3 linked regions of the Tamandua tetradactyla genome follow. The protein of the gene in region 3 interacts with the protein of the main gene of each other region in a pairwise test. Links are inferred from orthologs where the notes say so. Each region holds a gene or a part of one and is shown on either strand. Other genes may lie near its edges.

Evidence for each region. The genes of interacting proteins can lie anywhere in the genome.
Region 1: the proteins of CEP63 (region 3) and HTT interact in binary tests that used the Homo sapiens proteins (3 or more experiments, as listed by UniProt). The link is inferred for Tamandua tetradactyla from reciprocal best matches to the Homo sapiens genes CEP63 and HTT.
Region 2: the proteins of CEP63 (region 3) and SMARCE1 interact in binary tests that used the Homo sapiens proteins (3 or more experiments, as listed by UniProt). The two-hybrid records come from large-scale screens. The link is inferred for Tamandua tetradactyla from reciprocal best matches to the Homo sapiens genes CEP63 and SMARCE1.

Annotation. Positions count from the first base shown.
Region 1 is NC_135345.1:3,103,029-3,110,430, reverse strand, and holds the start of HTT (huntingtin), read right to left. Parts: upstream 3,016-7,402; 5' UTR 2,820-3,015; coding exon 2,614-2,819; intron 1-2,613.
Region 2 is NC_135332.1:26,726,375-26,733,899, reverse strand, and holds the start of SMARCE1 (SWI/SNF-related matrix-associated actin-dependent regulator of chromatin subfamily E member 1), read right to left. Parts: upstream 3,016-7,525; 5' UTR 2,554-3,015; exon of another isoform or gene 2,463-2,553; 5' UTR 2,325-2,462; intron 2,300-2,324; exon of another isoform or gene 2,052-2,299; intron 344-2,051; 5' UTR 299-343; coding exon 292-298; intron 116-291; coding exon 72-115; intron 1-71. UniProt on the Homo sapiens protein: Involved in transcriptional activation and repression of select genes by chromatin remodeling (alteration of DNA-nucleosome topology).
Region 3 is NC_135341.1:78,281,881-78,289,062, reverse strand, and holds the start of CEP63 (centrosomal protein of 63 kDa), read right to left. Parts: upstream 3,006-7,182; 5' UTR 2,922-3,005; coding exon 2,860-2,921; intron 2,635-2,859; exon of another isoform or gene 2,612-2,634; intron 585-2,611; exon of another isoform or gene 576-584; coding exon of another isoform or gene 547-575; intron 1-546. Other genes in the region: ANAPC13 (anaphase-promoting complex subunit 13), read left to right, coding at 5,722-5,820. UniProt on the Homo sapiens protein: Required for normal spindle assembly.

The sequences.
Region 1 (7,402 bases), on a different chromosome or scaffold from region 3:
ATTGCTAATTGTCATGGTTTGCCAACCCCCAACCAAAACCACCCCTGTTAATCCTAAAGAACACCTAGGGTTCTATCTGAGATTCTACAAAAGTTTCATGCACTAAGATTACTTTCCAGAAACCTACAACCTCCAGAGGGTTCCTAGGCCAGATAGGTCCAGAGGAGCCAGCCTCTCCAAGAACATGAGCTAGTTTCATCTCCCTATTCCATACTGTCAACACCCCTTTCCACATGAAAAAGTTAGAATGGGGATAGCCCAAATACCCTAAATTGGGAGAAGGATCAAAGGAGAAGATGGAGTATAACAGAGAAGATAGAATTAAACAAATGAGTATGATTGCTGAATCATTATATTGATATTTCTTTTAGTTTCCAATGCCTTGGAGCAGCTAGGAGGAAAATGCTGATATTATGGAACTGTAACCCATACCAAACTTTAAAGTCTATTCTATAACTACCTGTTACAATGCACTTTGTAATTTATTACTTTTTTGCATATATGTTATATTTCACAATTTAAAAATGTTTTTAAAATGTAACCGAAATAATAGAAGTGAAGAAAAAAGGTTACTATTCTAAAATACTTTTGTTTTGAAGAATTTAAAGTCTATCTTAATTTACACATAGAAGGTCACACAAGAAAGTGGAACAGTGCTTGTGTGTGGGGTCATGTGAGGTACTTAAGAGAAAGGGGTAGGAGAAAAGCATTTCAATCATTACTCTTTAGTAATTTTGAAATTTTTATTGTATTAATATATTACCTGTGCAAAAATAACAGATTAAATGAATCAATTTTAAATGAACCAATCAGGTATTACCTTAAAATAATGAAACTACCTACTTTGACGGCCAGCTTTAGAAGGATACCACTTGATACCCATATTTTGAAAATAAGCAAATTCAGGCTATGTCAAATCAGTGTACAAAACAGAAGGCATACTTTTAGTTTGACCCAGTGTTCGAACAAGACACCAGAGGACAGCAGGAAGGACTTCCTTCCCAACCCCAACCCTGCTTAGTGTTTCCCGATACAAGCAAAGTACAAATTTCCATGATACCTACCTCCTAGAGAAGCAATAAAATAAAAGATGGAAATGGATTTGGTTATAAATTACCTGCTACAGTGATAAGGCAAACTGTTTAAAAGTTTCCTTAGATACCCAAACAAGTTTTCACTCTTCAGAAGAAGGAATAAGTAAATATTCCTGTCCATCCTATTTCCTCAGTTTCTAATGAAACTCTCAGGACACAGAAGGGATCATATCAGAAACAGAAAGTGCAAGAAAACTTTACTAAAAATGAATCAATGAGGTTCTTTAAGGGGCTGCGTCTTGAAAACTGTACCTATTAAATGCCATCATGTGTACACATTCAGGTAAGAAATAAAATGCCTGAAGGGTGCTCCCTAACCTCTGTTAATCGCTAAGAGCAGAAAGACTTCCTGGGTTTTCTTAGAAGGTGTTTCTCTTCTTCTGGTTCAAAAATTCTCCCCACACACAAGCAGCAGAGATCCCTGGCTTACAGATAACACAAGCCTGTCATCAAGGAAGCTCTTTCACCGGCTTGCAAAAGACATCCCTGGAGTCTACAGACACCCCAGGTTCTACAAGCCTGAGGACAATACCAGCGAAATGTACACCTCATTCACCCACCCTCAGCAACGTGTCCTCTTTATTGCCAACAGAAAACAGGTGATAAACTTCAGCCAACTTTTCTTAATATTTAAATCAACTTTATTATTTCTCATTTGTTAATAACCATCATCTAATTACCTCATCACTTACTTGGCAACCACAGTTTAATCAAATGTCTGCAGACCCACACCTGAGCTTAGATTAGCAGGCCTGTTCAGTGACGCTTTAAACCACGTCGCTACCACTAGGACTCAGGAACTAAATGAAATGTCTTGGGAATTTGGGAACAGAGACTCAAGTCGGGCTCTCTCGAGCACCACTTTGAAAAAGGCTCTCCCATTGGACGACGTCCTCAGTCCCCCGCCTTCCCCCAACCACTCCGGCCCATAACAGCATTATGTCATCCACTATCCCCGCATCACCCCCAGCTCCAAGTCCTGGCTCTTCTCGAACGCCTGCACCCACAGCCCTCCTCCTCTCAAAGTCAGAAGAGAGAAGGGAGGAAGCCAAAAGGGTCGCAACCTGCGCTCTTCTAAATTCCCACCATCAAAACACAGCCGCGCAACCCCCCCTCCCCGTTTCGCGCAAAGAAAAACTATTTCATTCCCTAACTCTTGGCATCTGGGACAAGGCGAGAGGACTGGGGCCTTGGCCCCCTCGGTGAATTCGGGAGGAGCCCCAAGAAACCGCTACCTCCCTTCCCAGAATGACGGAGAGCCCAGCGGGGGGACCCGGAGGGGACAGAACATGCTAACCCGAGGCCCGGACTCGGCTCTCCCATCAGGAAAGCGCGAGTTTCTCTCTCCCGGGAGTTACGCGCCCGGGCTCGGGGACAAGGCTGCGCCGCCACCACCGTCGCGGCGGGGTCAGGGGTTGGCCGGCGACACAGATGCTGCTGCCCCCAGGCTGTCACCGGGAGGTCCCGCCCCGGGAGGGGAGGCAGCGGCAGGCCCGCCGCTCCGGGCCCCGACACTCACGGTCGGTGCAGCGGTTCCTCAGCCACCGCCGAGCTGGGCGGCAGCGGCGGCGGCTGCGGCTGCGGTGGCGGCTGGAGCGGCGGCGGCTGAGGAGGCTGGGGCGGCAGCGGCGGCGGCGGCGGCGGCGGCGGCTGCTGCTGCTGCTGCTGCTGCTGGAAGGACTTGAGGGACTCGAAAGCCTTCATCAGCTTTTCCAGGGTCGCCATGGCGGCCTCCCGTCCCGCGGGGCAGCCCCCGGAGCCCTGGGCCCGGCTCGCGGCGGCGGGGCGCCTTTCAGCAGTGAGGTAATGAATGGGGCACTGGGTCGCAAGCTGAGGGAGAACGGAGGATCTCGGCCATCTTAGAGCTGTCCCGGCAGCCCCCGCGGCACGCTACGTCCCGCGACGCTGCCCGGCGGAGGCGGGGACAGGCCGGACGACGTGATTGACGGCCGGGGAATGCAGCCTCTGCCAATGGCGGGTCCCGGCTCGGCCCACCACGCCCGCAGGCGCGCCCCACTCAGCCGCCGCGACGCCTGGCTCCCCCGCGCCCCGCCCCTGGGAAGGCGGGGCCCGGCCTGTGGGGGCGGGGAAAGCGGGAAAGGGGCTGAGCGCGCCAGGAAGGGGCGGTCCGGGGGCAGCGAGAGAAGAGGTGGAGGCGGCCGGAGAAGAGCGGTCGCCGGCAGAGGAGAGAACAGGGCAGGTGGCGACCCGGGACGCGTCGGGAAGAGGCGGAGAGGGGCAGGGCGATGGGAGCGGGCGAGGGGTGAGGTGGGAGGGGGCAGCGACGAGCCGGGGTGGGGCAAGGTGAGGGAGGGAGCGTGGAGGGGGCGGGAAGGGAGGCGGAGGCGTGGAGGAGGGTGGAGGGAGGAGGAGAAGGGGAGATGGGCAGTCCCGGAGGGCGCTAGGCGGAGGGCAGGGGCGCGGCGGGGCGAGGTGGTCCCGCGGCGGGAAGGGGTGCGGGGCCAAGGGGGACGGCGCGCGCGAGGGAGGGTTCAGGCAGCTGGGGTGGGGGAGAGATTGTTGCCCGTTGGGCGGCCGGCCCCGGGGAAGGGCGTTCCTGGGGCTCCCGGACAGGCGCGCGGACACTGTCCGATCTTCCCCGCCAGGCTCCGCGCGGATGGGGTCTGGGGGGTGGCAAGCTAGTAAGAAATGAAGCCTTGAGTAGTAACCAGCTTGACCAGAGCACAGACATTAAAGGTCAACAGACCCACCCCTGAAAGGGTGAAGAATGTATTGTGAAAGCATTAAAACTCCCGTTCCCTAAGCGCTGTAGGTAACCAGCTCTCCGGAGACTGCTGACACCCCTAGGTAACTAAATTTCAGCCAGACTCAGCTGGACTTTGTAAATTGCTCCCTTCCTCTTGTTTGTGCAGGTCACTGATGTGCTCATGGGGAAAAATCTTCTAAGTCCCTAATTAAAATTCATTGGTAACTCTTTGTCTAGTGTGTTCTTTGGTCTTGATGTGGAGTTGGGTTTGAATATTTGGCGAGCCAGCCAGGAAACCAAAAAGCTGCAAGATGAAAGGCAGAAGTACTGGGAAAAGAGACTTCCCAGGATGGCCTGCAACAGGCATGTGGAGGCAGGTGCGTACTGTTCTGGATGAATGGGAGTCGCGGAAGAAGTATGGAGGTGCTTGTAACTCCCCAGCTGGACTAAAAATCCTGCTGTAACAGGCCACAGTACAGTTGGGATTTCATAAGAAAAAGGAAAGCTGCTGGGCTGCTGCAGCTGTGGCCTGGCTGTTCTTGGAGGCCATGCAAACAGCTATGGAAGAGGCCTTGACAGCGGAGGGGTAGTCACCCCCTAGAATAGGAACCTAAATTAGACATGGATGGGAGGGTGGTCCAAGTGGAGAGGAAAGATGCTTTAAATGAGAGGCTATGCCAAGCAGATGAAAATTGGAAATATTAGCATATTGTTGCACTAGGGTAAGGAGGAAGAAGTTACATAAGGTTAAGTCAGAACCCATCTGGGCCAGCAAAAAAATACATGTTACAGTGCAAGATTCTACCAGCTCTGAATTACAAGAGATTGGGACTTAGTATAGACAAAAACCTAAAGAACTTTTATCAAATTGGAAACTGCAATTGTGGGACACTGGTGCCTATGGTTTACTGCTCTCTGGGCATGAGATGAGTAAATTGTCCTCTCTCACCACCTATCTTTCTCTGTGTCGATGCATGTATTCATTTGCCCCCAAAATGGAAACAAATTTGCTATTTAATTGGCTTATATTACAGTACAGAAGGTGTGGCCCATTGAGGGGGATCTGCCCCATTGCAACCCCCACTGGAACACCACTGATGAACTACACGATGTATTAAGGGAGCTTGGGATGAAACATGCAATTTAAATGCTGGGTGCCATTGGACCAGAGAGTGTAATTTATGCTACAGGAATTAACAAGACAATTCTACATACTGATCCCAATAGTGATAGGGGACTTTGGTGCCCACTTATAGGACAGCCCATCTCACAGGCTACCCAAATGATTGCACACTTGGGAGAGACAGATCGCCTAAGGCAGAGGGGAGCTCAAGTCAGAGCTATGGGTCAAATCCCAAGGGGACATGATGGTCTGAACCAGGTGTCAAACAGACAAATGTAGACATACCTAATAGATGCTGAAACTAAATTGAGGATATTGATGGGCAGCCAAATGGAGTATCAGTTGGACTGTGGAGCAAGTGGTCCAAGGAGCAGAGGTTTACTAAGCTTGAAACCAGGTCACTAGAGGAGAACATGGATTCTGGCTCAAAGACTCAGCCAACACCACCTAAAGAACCCTCCGCCCCCTGACCCAGGAGGTCTGGAAGGCCCCCTTCCCCCTTGCATAGGAGATAGGTCAAGATCCCCAAGAAAAATATATGGGGACACTGGGGATCAGAGGCCACATATAGAAATGACTCCCCCACTAATGAGCATAGAGTTTTGGGCTTAGTAGACAATGAAGTGGAATGTACCTTAATATATGGGCAACGGCCACAAACTGGGAGCCCTACACTAACCATTGCTGGATACATGGGCGAAGGCATTGAAGCAACTCAGCAGCAATTATTAATGCAAGCTGGCCAATTACCACCTCAAACATATATGGTATACATATATCTCCTATCCAAGAGTATATATATTAGTAATTGATATCTAGCAAAATATTATCTTGCAAAGTACCATAAGTGAATTCTGCCTCTGGTGCTGTACTGGTTTAAAGCTATTATGTACTCCCAGAAAAGCCATGTTCTTTAATCCTCATTCAGTATTGCTGGGTGGGATCTTTTTTAATGTTTCCCTGGAGATGTGACCCACCCAGTTGTGGGTGGTACCTTTTGATTAGGTGGTTCCCATGGAGATGCATTGCCACCCATTCAAGGTGGAGACACTTACTGGAGACCATTAAGAGGGAACCATTTTGGAAGAAGTTTCAGAGCCAAGAGAATCCACACAGCCAAACCTTTGAAGATGCAGAAGGAAAACACCCCTGAGGAATCCTTATGAAATGAGAAGCCAAAAGAGAAAACTAGCAGACGTTGCTATGTGCCTTCCCAGCTGACAGAGGTGTTCCAGATGGCATCAGCCTTTCTTGACTGAATGTAACCTCTTGTTGGTGCCTTGATTTGGACACTTTCATGACCTTAGAACTGTAAATTTGCAACTTAATAAATTCCCTTTTTAAAAAACCATTCTGGTTTTGGAATATTGATTCTGGCAGTTTTAACAAACTAAAACAGGTACAGAGTGGTCCAAACATCCTGAGAAGATATGTTAAGTAGTCACAGGTGAAAGTACCTTCCCCCAGAAGCACTGTGGCACTGCATTAGTGTAAGTTGCCCAGGGGCCATCAAGAAATCACTGCCACTATTAAGAAATTACAAAGAGTGGGTACTATCATTTCTACTCACAGCCATTTTAATTGCCCTATCTGGCCAGTAAAGAAACCTGATGGAATTTGGTGAATGATAAATGACTATAGACAACTAAATACAGTAGTTCCTCCTTTATTTGCAGGTGTGCCAAACATTGGTATTTTGTTAAAGGTTGTAAGTACTCAGGCCAATTTCATTTTGTATTAACCCTTGTTAATACCTTCTTCAGTGCCTCTTTAGGTCTCTCCAGCCATTTGCATTTGCCTTCATGTGGGAAGGACAACAGTGGACATTTATTGTGTTGCCCCAAGGGTATTTTCATAGTCCTACTATTTGTCATGGTTTAGTTGCTCAAGACCTGAAAACATGGAAATCCCCTGAAAATATAACTTTTTTCCATTACATGAATGATGTTATGCAAACCATTAACTCTTTTTCATAACTAGAAACCTCTGCTAACCTAGTGGTGACCCACTTTGAAAGCTGGGAATGGGTGGTAAGTTGAAATAAGCTACAGGGACCCAGATGCTCTGTCAAATTTTTGGGTATTGCCTGGTCAGGTAAGAATAAAACTATTCTGCTGCTGTTGAAAAAGTACAGAACTACCCCACTCCATACACTGTTAAGCAGTTAATGGCTTTTCTTGGTTTATTGGGATGTTGAAGACCATTTATATTTCATTTGCCACAAATTTTAAAACATTTGTATACTCTGGTTTGCAAGGAAGGTTTGGGGAATTAGATACCCCACAGAAGGCTGCTTTTGAAAAGTCCAAACAAGCTATAGCACAAGCACAAGCTTTAAGGGGGCTGGGCCCAGACATGCCTTGTTAATTGGATGTGGCCAGTATCAATTATTGGCTTTGGGTGGGGTGTGGGGCAAAGGCAACAGACAAAATGCGTACCTGTTGGCTTCTGGTCTCAGCTATGGAAAAAGGGAGCCAG
Region 2 (7,525 bases), on a different chromosome or scaffold from region 3:
CTGGAAGACATCTGGGTTTTTGTATCAAGGCCAGACTTGGCTATTACATTAACAAGAAAATTAAAACTTACTGTTGCAGGAGCTGGGGTGGGAGGTGGGGCATAAGATGGTCTTTCTGTTTGAAAGAAAATAAATAACTTCTTGTAAACAACTGAGATATAATACTATGCAACAAAACTACCAATGGTCCTGTTTTGAAGGAAAAAAAAATGAGAGTATTTTGGAATTCCCACTTGCTAGGGCATTAGTCTCTTATTAACATAGATTGATAAATATAAAAATGAAACTTACTTGACATTTTGGAAGATTAAGTTCTCAGTTCCTTAAGAATGAATATGAGACACTAAAATAAAAAAAAAGAAAAAAAAAAGAAAAAAAAAGAGAATCAAAACTCAGCAAGCATAAGAGAATGTTCTCCTAAAGAATAGGGTTGTTTAATTGGTATCTTTGAGTAAAATTACTTTAAATTATCTTCAAGTAATCAAGATTTTTTCATATTTTACGCATTCTTGTAGGACACTTGGTTGATCAGAATTAAATGACTAAGAAAAATTACTGAGGATATTAAAAGTAATGTTAGACATATACTTTCAGGTCTGTTCTTATGATAGAGCCAGCGTTTGTATGGAAAACATTTTACTGTTGCCATGTAAACATTTAATCAGATTGATAAAAAGATAATGACAACAGAATGTGATGAACTATCAGGGCCCACTGGATACTGACAATTCTCCTGATCAGCAGGTTATACTTTTGCTTTTAAGATAACTTTCATTAAAGTAGCACAGCAGTTTATTCCTGGAGGCAGTGCAGAAGGTAACTGGTACAATAATGAGCCTTAACATTCTCTAATAAAGGTAAATATCTTCATAACTGGGAATAAATTTTGAGAATCTACCTGAAAACCCTTCTTTATCCCTCACAACCCATTTCAAAATTTATCTCCTCAATGGAGCTTTCTTGATGAAAGATCTGGGCAGAATTAATTGCTCCCTTGTCTGAATTCCTTTCCAGTTTGCAAATATCTACCAATTGTTTATTTATCATATATATATATTTTTTACCTGCCAACATGGATGGTGTGCGTATTATATGCAGAATACTTGGCAAAATTCTTCATAAGTTTTGCCCTAGTATTGCCAGCTCATATGACCATACTCACATGAGCTTGTTTCTTACATCAACATACATCACCAATAACGTAGTATGAAGAAACATTCATTTTTAGAAAAAAGGCAAATCAACTTCTATGACCACTGGACACTTTCATCCAACATTAGGTGCAACAAACATGTTTGGTCCTAGTGTGCATTTTAGGGGAATCTCCTGGGGTATAAAAAATAAGAGGCCTAGCATATAGAAAGATAAACATTCAATGGCCCAACCTGAGTCTGTTCTTCCTTCCCTTAAAAAGAAAAGACAGGTTGAAACCACCGACTCTGGTGCAAATTTTCTTCCTGCTCTCATTCAGGGAGCTGTCAATACCCAGTAGGCCTTGCTGTGAGAAGCCCTGATGATAACTCCACAAACTCCACTTCATTGTTAATACTTTAAAATCGCTGATCTCTCTTGCTAGACTATAAGTTCTAGCAGTAGGGTTGTACATCTGTCCACCACTAGATTCACCCCGTGCCTGGCCCATGACAGATACTAAGCATTTCAGAATGAATACCTTATACGGGACAGACTTATTACCTATATCAGACCATCTCGTTCAACAGTCGCAGTATACAAGACGTGTACTGCTATCCCTATTTTACAGATGTAAAAAAGGAAGGCTCAGCGACTTGACGTAACTTGTCTAAAGCCACCCAGCCAGTAGGTGCCAGAGGTAGGTTTCAAACCCAGGCCAGACTGTTTCACAGCTTTTGCTCTTCGCTCCAAGTCACACAGTGGGTCCTCCTCATATTGCTGCCTGAACCAATGAGGACCACCTTTCTGGGGGTAGAGTACGGGCTTGGCTTGCCCCGAGGGCTTCCTCTGAGATAATTTCCTTTAAGTCTGTCGGGAAGGATGCACTTCACCAGCAACATAACTAAGGCGGGGGTGGGGGATGGTGGCGGGGAGCGGTGGGTACGCTCTGACGCTTGGACCTGTTGTGAGGAGGAGTGGACGGGGCAAATTTCACCGCCGAGGAAAAGCCCCAGACGGAACTCCCATCTTCGCTTCGCTAGGCCTCAAAGAGCACAGAATCGGTCCCCAGCCCTAGCCCCTCAGCCAAGCCTGAAACCCCAGCAAGCCCTGAGAACTCAGGGTGCAGCCAGGCGGAGAGACAGAGACTTGTCACCCTCCCGACCCGGTCAGGCCCAGTTTGAAACACTCACCCGCGGGCAGAAGGAGCGCCCGCAGCTCCGGCTAGGCTTCCCTTTGTCCCACGCACGCCCCGCCCCTCGCGTCCGGAGCTTCCGCACTCGCACTTTCGACACTTTTCTTAATTTCTCTCCAGCTTTCCCCCGACTCTCCTTAGAAAAGTAATCCTAATGGTGAGGGCGCGGGGATACTTAGTGCCATCAAGAATTTTTTTTCAGGCCGCATTAGTTCCTCAAAACTCACGAATTTCGGTATTTTCTCGGCTAGGCGCCGATTCGTCACGACGGAGAGGGAGAAGTTTGCCCGACCACGGGATAGGCCGGGATTTCGCGGTCGGGAGGAACAGAAGCGGCTTCGGCGACAGGTGACGCGGCGGGAGCTGCAAAGCTGTGCCACAGGGAGGTGGGGGACGTGGCCTCAGCAGCCACGCTTCGAAGACAGCGGGAATCGCGCTAAGGCGTGAGACCCCGGAACCACCGTTGCCAAGTGGGCCGCGCCTGGCTGGGGCCGCGTCCGTCCCCGCCCCCGTGTTCCTCCCCCACCCTCCGCCCGGGTCCTCTTCCTTCTCTCTGGGCAGGAGCTGTGCATCTTAGCACGCCGAGGGTGGAGGCGGGAAGGACTGGGTTCACAGAATTTTCCTTCTCACAGGCGCCTCGCACGGCTTTCTACTTTAACAGCCTGGCATTATCCTTGATGAAAAGCAGTATGGAGTTTTTCAGTTATCCAAGCGCTTTTATGGTGTAAGTGCCACAGTTCCCCGAGGCAAGGCCCGGACGCGGTAAGCCGCGCAGTGTCCCCGTTGCCACTAGTAACTGCCTCAACCTGTCTTGGTTAATTCGGTTCACTCAGCCGGGAACTATTGTCGCCACTTTAAGTTTTAACCTCATTTATCCTTCCGGATGCGGCTCACAGGTCACTTTGTGATGCCCTACTGAAACTTTCTCCCCAGTAATCCTTTTTCTGTGCACCCATGGCACAGAGAAAGATAAAAAAAATTATAAGATTAAAAGCTTATCATTATTTGATGATAATTTTATTGTAATCGTCCACCTGACTTTTTCTTTTCTTCTTCTTCTTCTTTTTTTTTTTTTTTTTTTTATCAGTTTGTATTTAACTCCAGCGCATTACGAGGGCATTGAAAGCAAAGGTCCAGGCGTCTGCATCAATCATCTTGAACTATTATTAGATACTCAGTAAACATATACTCAGGCAGATTTCTAATCTAGTCCAGGGCTCTTTTCACTAAATAATGAGTAAATTGGCTTACCATGTGGCGTGAATAGCCCCTTCCTTGTGAATATAAATATCTATTTTTGCTGATGTTGTGGCCACTGTGGAGGAAGAAGGAACAGATGGGATCCTTCCTTATCTGTAATTACTTTGAAAACAGTGTTGCCATTAAGAGTGTATGAATTCTTGCTCTGCTCTCAGAATCCACACTGGGTGTGCTGGCAGGGACCGGGCATCTCTGGAAGGCTGCAAAGCCAGGGACTCATGAAACTGTGCAATTCTTCCACCTCTAATAATTTTATGTTAGTGACTAAAGATCAGTGAAATTGAAGATGTATTGAAAGGAAGGCTTAAAGGTGAGGGCCTGGAAGGATAGATAACAAGCAGCCTGAGTGGTGCTTGAGATAATATATATAAATTGATTTTTTAATGTAAAAGCATCAGAGACATGTAAAGGAGTATTCTGAGACACATGAAGCCCATCCCAATGTCTTGTTTCTCTGGCCTTGACCAGCAACTCCGCCTGGTTTCTTCACTGCCTTTAGGATTATAGTCAGGGGATTGGGCAGGTATAATGCTGGGACAGATGTTCAATTGTATTATCTCTAAGCAGGCCTCTGAAGAAAAATTGCAGATGCTGGATGTTAGAAACAAAGCGCACTGTAGTGTGAGAACGGTGGCACAAAAATGGTGGGAAGAAAAAGGAGGGTATCTGGGTAGAGCAGTGACATTGACTGATCACTTTCTTACCTCCTGGTCTTTGCTCAAACTGACCTATTTAAAATTGCGACTTGTTCCCCCACCCCCCTACTCCTTATTTATCATCTGTGCTTAATTTTTTTCTACAGTACCTATCACTGCCCAATATACTGTATTTTTATGTAGTTATTTTTGTTGTTGTTTTTGTCCTTCCGTTGGAATGAAATCTCCTTGATCAAGGGTAGAGACATCTATCTGACTAATTTTGTTCATTGCTAAACTCTGATATCTGGAACTGTGTGGGGTAAATATAGGTGCCAATATTTGTGAAATGAATACATGAATAGCTATTCAGTTTTTCCCCCTTTAGTTCTTTCTCTCTTGAAGATTTACAAAGTTAAGAAAAGAAGAAATAGGCAACAAAAGATAATAGAAAAAAATATTTTCCTAGTCTTGAAGAAATTAAGGCTGAAGAGTGAAATATCCAGCAAGGTGGACTGTACTTAACACTGACTTTTATAGGCACTAATAAGTCCACCATTGTTATAGGCAAATGGTGGAATTTGCTCATTTTCTCAGCCGTTTCTGTGAAAGCAGGAGTCACAGGAATTTGTTTTCTATCGCTGGAAGTAATTGTGAAATGTTGAAGCCCTGTAGCTTTCAAGGACAGAGTAATTCACAATGTTCTATAGAATTTGACAAAAAATGTGGTATGCTTTTACAACTTTCCTTATCCCCTCAATACCTTGATTTGGGGCATGATTTTTGATACATGATTGGAAAGAGATGAAAATATTTGAAAATGGAATGGTGCTAGTCCTGGGAAATCTGGGGTCGGGGTCTCTTAACCACAGATAATCCACAAATATCTGTTGATCTTATTGAGAATCTAGGATCGGGTTCAACAGACTACAGCTGCAGGCCAATCCGGGCTGCATCCTATTTTTGTAAATTGTTTTATTGGGACATAACCATGCCTATTCATTTCCATATCGTCTGTGGCTCATTTGGGCTACCAAGGCAGAGTTGCATGGTTCCTACAGGGACTGCATGGCCCGCAAAGCCTAAAATATTTACTGTCCTTTCACAGAAAAGGTTTGCTGACTCCTGGTTTATAATTTAAGAGTGTGGGAACATTGGAAAGGACTTGTCCTGATTTGCACATATGCCTTATTTTGAAATGTTTATTTTTAGTATGTCCATGAATATTGGAAATCTTTGTGAACCTGCTGGCCATAACTTGTTAACATAGAGCCAAATTCTGCCTTGTGTACAGAGATTCCTTTGATTTCATGTGTTAATAATATCAGTAATTTGTATATACATATTAGTTAACAAAGTTTAACTTTGGTCCAGGTGCCATACTTATTTCTATTTGAAACTTTCAAATTAATTTAGTTTTTTTTTTTACTTTAGAGAACATTTTTGTATTTTAAAAAGTGTCATGGAAGAAGTTTAATTCACTGGAAAAGAACATTTCCTGTCAACAATTGAAGAATTAGAACTACTGTCTTTATCTATGTTACTTATCATTGCCAGCTATAATTGTCCTCACAAATTCTTTACTCCCAAAGACAATTTTCATCCACATAGTATTGTATATTTGAGTAGTGCTTTACAAAATATTTTCATATGTGTATTATTTCAGACAACTCTGTGATGTGGGCAGGGTAGGAATTATTATCAGGTATCACCTTTTCCTTTGTTTTCGGGTATACAAATTGAGGTCTGGGGAACTTAGAGTGATTCCCTCTTGCTTATATGGCTAACTAGTAACTGTAGTTAACCTAGCCCTCTAGAACCTGGGCTAGAATTTTACAATGTTAGTAATCGAAATTAACTCCTTATTATATTTTGTTATGGAAGTGTGCATTTGAAATATTTTAGCGAGATGGAAGAATATTAATTTCTATTCACTTATAAAATGAGGATAATATGTGCCTCATGGGACTGTTTTGAGGATCAGAGATTATGTTTGAGCCCACTGAGCATGTGCCTAGAGCATAGTACACACTTTGCAAATAGTATGCTGTTGTTATATTTTCTCCAGGACCATGGGATTTCTTTGATTTTTTTTAGGCTGAAGTACCAATATATCATTCTTGTGTAAAAACCATTATCTACTATGATGGAATTTTTCTTTTGTACTCAAATGAGCTAACCATATTGAAGCAATTGATTCTTTGTTTTGCTTAGACATGCAGAGATACTTACTTTGTGTTTTCTTTTGAATGGGCAGGCACTGGAAATCGACCCGGTCTCTGGCATGGCAAGCAAGAACTCTGCCTGCTGAGCCACTGCGGTCCCAGAGATATTTTTGAATTAAAAGAAGTGTATGAAACTCAAATACAATGCAGCTTTAGAATTCAAGTTTAATTTTTTTTATCTTAGTGGTATAATTTACTTTGGCAAATTCATATTCCAATTTAAAATGTCTCAAAGCAAACAAAACGTTGTTATAAACTCAAGTATTGTTAAATGTACCTGTTATACACACAATAGCTGCATAGTGGAATTACTATAATAAGCGGTTACATTCATGATGTCCAGTTCTAAATTTTTAACACTGCATGAAGATTACACTAGACATACTGCTTTATTACAATTACTGTTGCTTAGTATAGTAACTTTAGTACAATAGGTTTTATGATTGCATTTTTTAAACCTTTAATAAAGTTAGTAGCATTTAACGAATACTGAATGAAAACAGTTGTGTGTATAGAATGTATTTTAAGTCAAATACTTAGGCAAGAATAAGCTCTTAACATATCTTTGACAACACAAATCATTTCATATTTACTAAAGATAATAAGTCAGGCTTAAAGGAGTCTGAAGTCATTGAAAGAAAATTTAAAATTTTATATCCCTGTAATATGTTAAGGGTTATTTAACATAATTTTCTTCTCGTTAAAACTTACATTATTTTTCTGGTTGAAATGAAACTAAGAAAGAGAAGGCTGTATTAGAATGCTGACTTAACTTTAGCCCTTAGATGATACTTTAGCTGGAAAATAGAATGGCGAGTTGTACTCAACTAGTTTTTCTGCTAGAAAAAAATTGATAACCTATGAATTTCTGATGTTTTAAAACAGGTGTTTATTATTTAAGGTCTTAAAATAAAAATACCTTATTAAACAAATTAATAAGTTTTTTTAAAAACTTTGCAACAATACTTCACTTATTCACAAATATATTTTCTATCCATATATATTACAGTTTGAACAATTTAAAAACACAAATCCTTCAGATATTCTTAGTGTACATAACAAGACTGTTGTCTTAGTTC
Region 3 (7,182 bases):
TAGGATAAGGCAATTAAAATTAACGAAATTTAGGTACCAAGATTTTCAACAAAAGAGAAAAAAATGCAAATACTAAATCAAACTCATAAAAAACAAAGTCGAAAAAACAACAGTAAAATCAAATTTACATTGGAAATATTAGTATGGATTCTATATTTCCTTTTAAAAAATGTATTTCTTAGCTCCAATGACTGTAAATCCTAGAACCCAAAACCAACCTAACAGCAAAAGCACCTCTGGCACCCAGACTGTGTGGTCTCTAAATACCATCTCCCAATAAAAGGAACAGGGCTCTTTGGAGGCCAAAAATGTATAAAATGAACCAGGAACCTATTGCACCAGAAAGCAAGGAAATTATCAAAGACCACTGGAATCCTCTAGAGGAATAGGAGCCAACTTAAAGAGGCTCCAACTGGCCAAAGGTAGGACAATTTGAGTATCAAAAAGAATAATGATTTCAATAGATTGAAAGAGTTTATATATACTTAAATCTATGAGTTCATGAGGATGATAGCAAAAAAAATTAGCAAAAACCTTCATGGTTACCTTTGGAGGTCGCTAGGGCATCGACTCATTACTGTAGTCTGAAAATAGAGGGAAAAAATTTAGCATTTTTCTTGCCTTTCCTGAACAAACTGTAATTCAGGATAATCAAATAGCTGATGAGAGAAAGTTCTTCATAAAAGTTTTCCAGCTAATAAATATAGAAGGAATGATAGAATTAGAAAACCAACATTTTGCAGTCCCTAATACAATAATGGGTACAGACAATCTGAATCCAAGAGAACTTCATCACTGGGTGACTCAAGGCGAGGTTCATGCTGGATGAATGGGTCTGGCTGACAACACCAGAACCCAATGATCAATCTTTACATCACAAATAGGACAACTCTGACACTGTGTGCCTGCATGAAAATAGCACTAAACAGGAAATACACTAAACCATATATGAAATATTCTTGTGCTCCACCCAAAAAAAATCAAAGATGAATCTGATCAAGCCTCTAGATCGGTGCTGTTCAAAAGAATTTTCTGCAATTATGGAAATGTTTTATATCTTACTATTGTGTACTTGAAATGTGGCTAATGAACTGAACTTTTAATGTAATCTTCTTCTAAGCTGGTTAGTGACCATCACACTGGACAGGGCAATTCTAGATCTAACTACCAGTTTAGAGGAAATAAAGGGAATAAATGTCCATGTTAAAGGATATCATATGGACGCAGATCTGGAATGACCAGGCAAAAGGGAGGAGAGGGAACTGCTACAGATTACAAAAGAGACTCAAAAGATACGTATTTTTTAAAGGTGCAAGTAGGTATATCAACCAAATGCAACACTTTGATCTTCACAGGATTTTAATCCGAACACACTAAACGTAAAAACACATTTATGGGACAGTTGGGGATATGTGACATGACAGTATATTGGTATTACGGAATTTTTATTGATTTTGTAGGTGTGATATGACTGTTTTGAAAAACTGAAAAACAAGAAATCCTAGCTCTTAGAGAAAAAAATAACTTAAACATAAAAATCAGAAATTCAATTCCTGAAACCTTAAGTTAATGAAGACTTTAGCAGAACTTCAAAATTAGAATGAATTCTTGATAGAGTGGCCTACTGATAACTGCCACCACTTCCACAACACAAATGAGAATGGAAAGGACTAAGCAAAGACCTTCTACCTCTTCATAGGAAGAAAATAGAATTGGTACAATTAACATACACAATTATTACAATTGTATTTTTAAATTTTTTAAATTTTAATCAGACATTTTAAAGGGTGGTGTGATTGAATGTTTATAACTCTCTGACCTAATTTTGTTTCACAGCCATTTTTACCATACCTATTACTGATAACAATATAATCAAAAGGCAAGGAGCAATCATGTTTGAGACACAAACGGAACTGAGAGTAATATAAAAAAATCAACCCCCTTTTCAGGATAATCGCAGAAAATTCAGGATAAAAATTACTCTAAAAGATCGCACCACATTCCAAATTAAGAAAATGCATACTCTTTATTATATCCTTAAGCTACACCTATTTATAAATGTAAATGCAAAATATTTTAAAGTCATGTGTAGTTGATCCTTATTTCCCCTTCATATCTTATAAAACAGATGCTAGTGTGCACAGCTACCCTACATTAAAGGTTAAAAACATTAACCTTTAATTAAAGGAATAAAATAAAATTTGTTGAATGGTTTAGGGAATCGGATGCAAAAAGCGTCGGGAACTACTACCCAGTACAAATAAGTGCTCTATAAATTAAGAGTAGTCTATCATCAGGCTGATATTGTAAGCATATAGAAAAGCCACATGATGAGCCTAAATGTACTGTCTTCCAATATTGTCACAAAGTGTTTTTAAGGAAACGTCCTTTTTAAACCCACTATCTTTATCATTTAGTTCCCATTTTTAACTCCATGCATGGAGCAACCGTTAGTTCTAGGTTTCCCACTTCAGTCCTTCACGATTTCTGCCACATTCCCGTACCTACTTTGCTAATATAACACTTATAAATTGTTACTAAATATCCCGCCACAAATGAACCGGTAACACCTCCGGTAAATGAGTCACAACAAAGGTTAGGCAGCTCTAACCAAATACTCGGGCCTGCAAGGTCTGTTGTGCGTGCTTCCCCCTAAGAAGGACAAAAGGGCGCGCGGGCGGCCCAGCAGGGAAGACAGGGACCGGGGAGCGGCTCGCCCACCGCCCCCGGCCCCCGGCCTCGCGGGAAGGGCTGACCAACAGGCGGGCCTAGCCTGCGCGCCGGGAGGGTGCCATGTTCGCCCTCGCGGATCCGCAGGGCGCTCGTAACGAGGCCGACGAGGGGGCTGCGAGAGCGGACCTGGGCCGGCGAGGGTGGGCTTGCTGGCCGGCAGGCCGCTCCGAGAGCCACTCCCCGGCCATGCGGCCGCACGGCCCGAGGCACCACCAGGCCAGGGCTCTGTACGCCAAGACGCCCGAACCCTGCCCACTAGTTCGCGCGCACAGGCGGTTACGCGGCCGCCGCGAGCGCGCCCCGAGCGCGCCCCGAGCCTTCCCGCCGTTACCTCGGGCCAGAAGCGCGCACGCGCGTCACCCCCAACCTTACGTCCTGCCTCTGTCGTCGGCACGTTCGTTCCGCCCACTGGCCCCTGACTATTCATTGAAAAGTCCTCCTGATTTCCCCTCTGCGCAAGCAAATGGACTCACCCACATCCGGAAATCTGCGAGAGAAGACCGGATGGAACACGTGATGCAGTGGTGGTGGCGTGGCGGAAACGGGTGCCGCGGCGAACCCGGTACCGGTAAGGGTAACCCGCCCTCCTCGCCCAGGTCTTGGCTACTCCCACTCCCTACCCTGCAGCGGCCGAGGGCTACGTCCTCACTTCTTCCTCGTTGTCACTGCCCTTATCGCACGCTGTGTCGGGTGAAAAGGAGCCTGCGTGGCCGCCCAGGACATGCACCACCCCTCATCTCCACATTTGGTATAGCCAGCCTAGGCCGGAAACCGCGGCTATAGGACGGCCACACGCCGGTACGGGTGGTGGTGGCCTGTGAGGGTCATTTCTAGACAAGGCAAAGTCCCTTCCCGCCTTTAGTCGTATGAATACATCATTACGGTTCTGTAAACGGCAGAAATGAATGAAATCTGTCTTTGTCTCGGGGGACGCGCGAACCACGTGTGTGGGAAGACGCATATAATAGGCACTTAATGTGACAAGCTTCCCGCCTGAAGCTATTCACTGTCCCCAGCGGGCCTGTGGGCAGGCGGGTGGCGCTCTCAGGCCGCAATTTGGGAATGCTGAGTTTTTGTGGCTGATTGGGGGTTAGCCGGAAGGAAGGAAAAGGAAAGAGCATTCCAGGCTCTGGGATTGTCACGTGGCTAGGCACAAAGATATCAGTAAAAGAAATTTGTTCTAGAAGCTACCTGTGGTTCCTTCTGTCACGTGCGGCGGGTGCTTGGGACTGTGGCCGTGTCCTGGATTCTTCCCATTCTCCCAGCACCATACGGATGAGGTCCTCCCAGCCTTAAAACTGTGTTGAATCCAAAGAGCTGCTTCTCAGCTGAATTTGGAAGGAAAAGTAAGGGTTTGTGATGGGGTTAAAAAAAAAAAAAAAAAAAAAACAACTTTAAGGCAGAGTCTCAGTGGGGCGTGATTGGAGGTATTTGGAGCAGAGACAGGTCAAAAAAAGTTTGAGGCCAAATTGAAGAAGGTGTGCTAAGGAGTGATTAGTACAAAATGTACATATAATAATTGGAAACAATAACATTTGAGTTGATCTGCCTAACTTGTTTTGTGGCTCATATGGACAGAAAGCTTACTGAAACTGAGGTGATTTGAGAAAACTAAAAACGTGGAATTTGTGTAGTTGCGGGAAAATAAGCAGCTTTGAATCTGTGGAGAAGAGTGAGGAGGGTATTCCAGTGAGCAGAGCAAAGAGGACAGTGGAGTGGCAGCAGCTCTTGGAGGACAGGGATTCCACAAGTATAACTGAAACTGGGGGCGAGGGGCCCTTGTGTGTACGTATCCTAAAGGCAGGATCTTTCAACTTGTTTTGTGTTATCCACCCTGTAGTACTGGATTAATTCTTGAGTGAAATAGGAAGATCCTTCAGGTGGCCCACTGTTGACAGAAGTATCTGTCACCTTTTGACCCTTCTCCCTCCCCAACTGCTGTAATTACTATCCAGGTATTAGGGCTGTCTTGTAGTCTTACTTTTAGGGCCAAGCACAAGTCTGTGTGAAGGAACTGAATTCTATCCCCAAAGATTGTTTCTTGTTTGAGTATCTATAGCCTCAGAAGTTGGGAGTGTCGCAGAGTAGTTCCCAAGCCAGTGGCCCCCAGGCCTTCAAGATGGCCCCTTTGTAACACTGAGCACAGTAGAATGGTGTCTGTGGTGAGGAGACAGGACCTAAACTTGGAAAAAGGGAGCCCAGAGGTACCTATTGAGCTGGCCAGTCCTTTGAATTAGATTGCAGCTGTTAGGGAGAAAAAGATGGGGAAGCAGCTATGTTTAAGGAGCATTGAAAAGAGAACAGAAAGAATTGGGAAGGAATCCCAAAGAGCAGCATGGAGTCCGGCCACTGGTGTTCACCTGGAGGTGCTCCTTTCAGGGCTCAGCCTGGACTCTGTTTTTAAGAAAGGAGGCAGTTTCATTTATAAGCTCAACTGCTGACATCTTTCTTGCTTTGAGGATTTGTGTCACGCCTATGGTTAGTTAATTTGCATTGTTCATCGTTGCTGTCTTACTTCCCTGTGTTGCCCAAGAGATTAGAACCAAGGCAGATGGAGACTTTTGTAAATTTGGTGCAAAAACCTTGAGAGGCTGGAGAAGAGACTGTTATAAGTCAGAGATTCATCAAAGGCATCACAGGAAAGGTGAATGTGCAAATTAGGAGAGAGAAATTACATTTAGATGTACTGTGGCCTTGAAGATGATACTCTCAGTTATGTCACCCTCCTGCCACACTATGAAACTAGTCCTTAACTGGGCTACATATATCCAGTATACACTATAAAGCATCCATCAGCTGAGGGTGAAGGTTGAGAGTGGGTACTGGTTTTATAAAAAATTGTCATCTAACCCAGATGAGAAGGTAAGCCTTTCCCAGGGCAGTGTGGTACCAAAATCCTAATAGTAGAATACCCCATCTCCTAAATCTCCACATTAAAGAAATTACCTTTATAACTTACAGATCTGACAAGATCAGAACTACAGGAGAATGGACAGTGAGGTACAGAGAGATGGAAGGATCTTGGATTTGATTGATGATGCTTGGCGAGAAGACAAGCTGCCCTATGAGGACGTTGCAATACCGCTGGTAAGTTATGGTTTGTTCTGAGTTGATGGCTTTAAGTATCATCTAGCAGGGCCTAGTGGTGATAGGATATCAGAAGACAGATAAACTAGTAGGGCAAAGAAATCAAAGCCTTAGAGTTCTCTAATTCTAAAAGCCTCTGGAGAGAATCTAGCCTGACTTTTTATTTGAAGGGAAATGTGGCTTAGAGAGAAGTAACTTACTTAGTTAGGGACATACCAGAACTAGAGCCCATGTTCTCTCTACTACGTCAAATCCGAAGGTAAACAAATTATGGGAGGTTAATGGGTAAGAAGGGGTAGGAAATAGAAAAGCAGCAGTGCCTCCAAAGGGCATATAAGTTATGTTTTTTACTTCTCTGCCTGTGGCTAGTCAGTCTTACCATTTTTAGAAACTCCCATCGTTGGAACATTATCCCAGGTTACCTAGAAAATATTCAGAAGATATTTGGCTTTTTTTCTTTTATGTTTAGAACAGCAGGCTCCTGAAATACTCTTTTCTTTTCTGATATCTGGAACACTCCTTTGGAAAGAATTTGTTAAGCCTCACTTAAGTAATCCAGAAGTGTTGCTTTTGTAATGCTTATTAAAAATATGATTTATGACACAGAAGTCTAACATAAAAACAAGAAGAACAGGACCTGGGGACTGTATTCCTTTAGAATAGACTAGCTGCTCTAAGAGTGGTTAACCCAGTATATTTTTCAAATAAATGGTCTACTATTGCTTATGTTTACAGGGAAATAAAATATTCAGCTAATCAGTTAAGACTGAAAGATGATGTGTTTAATGAATAATATGTATAAAGAGTCCCACTTAGTTCAAATTAAGGAAAATAGTAAAAAGATAGGAAGTAACAAAAATTAAGCTGTCATTGATTGAATACTAGTTTTAGGCCATGGAATGAGGTTGAAATTTTACATTATCTCTAATCTTTATAATAGTGCTACAAGAGAGGTGGTGTTTACACATTTTATAGGAAGGAAATAGGATCAAAGAGAAGAACTCTCCCCAGGTATGGTGGCTGATAGTGTTGGCCTTTATACTTACATCTGTGAGGCTCCAAGTCCTGTTCGGTGAGCTTTCTTTCATTCATTTATTCAACAGGCATTTGTTTAAAGCCTATTATGTGCCATAAGATAAGGTGAACATTAAAAAGTTTGTAGGACAGGCCACGGTGGCTCAGCAGGCAGAGCTCTAACCTGCCATGCCAGAGACCCGGGTTCATTTCCTGGTACCTGCCTGTGCAGGAAAAAAAAAAAAAAAGAGTTTCTGTGGCCTGAGGAATCTAGAGAGTCAACACATACAAACTAATAATTGTAAGTGTATGGATGAGTTAAGTATAGCCAGTGGCTAATTGTTAGTA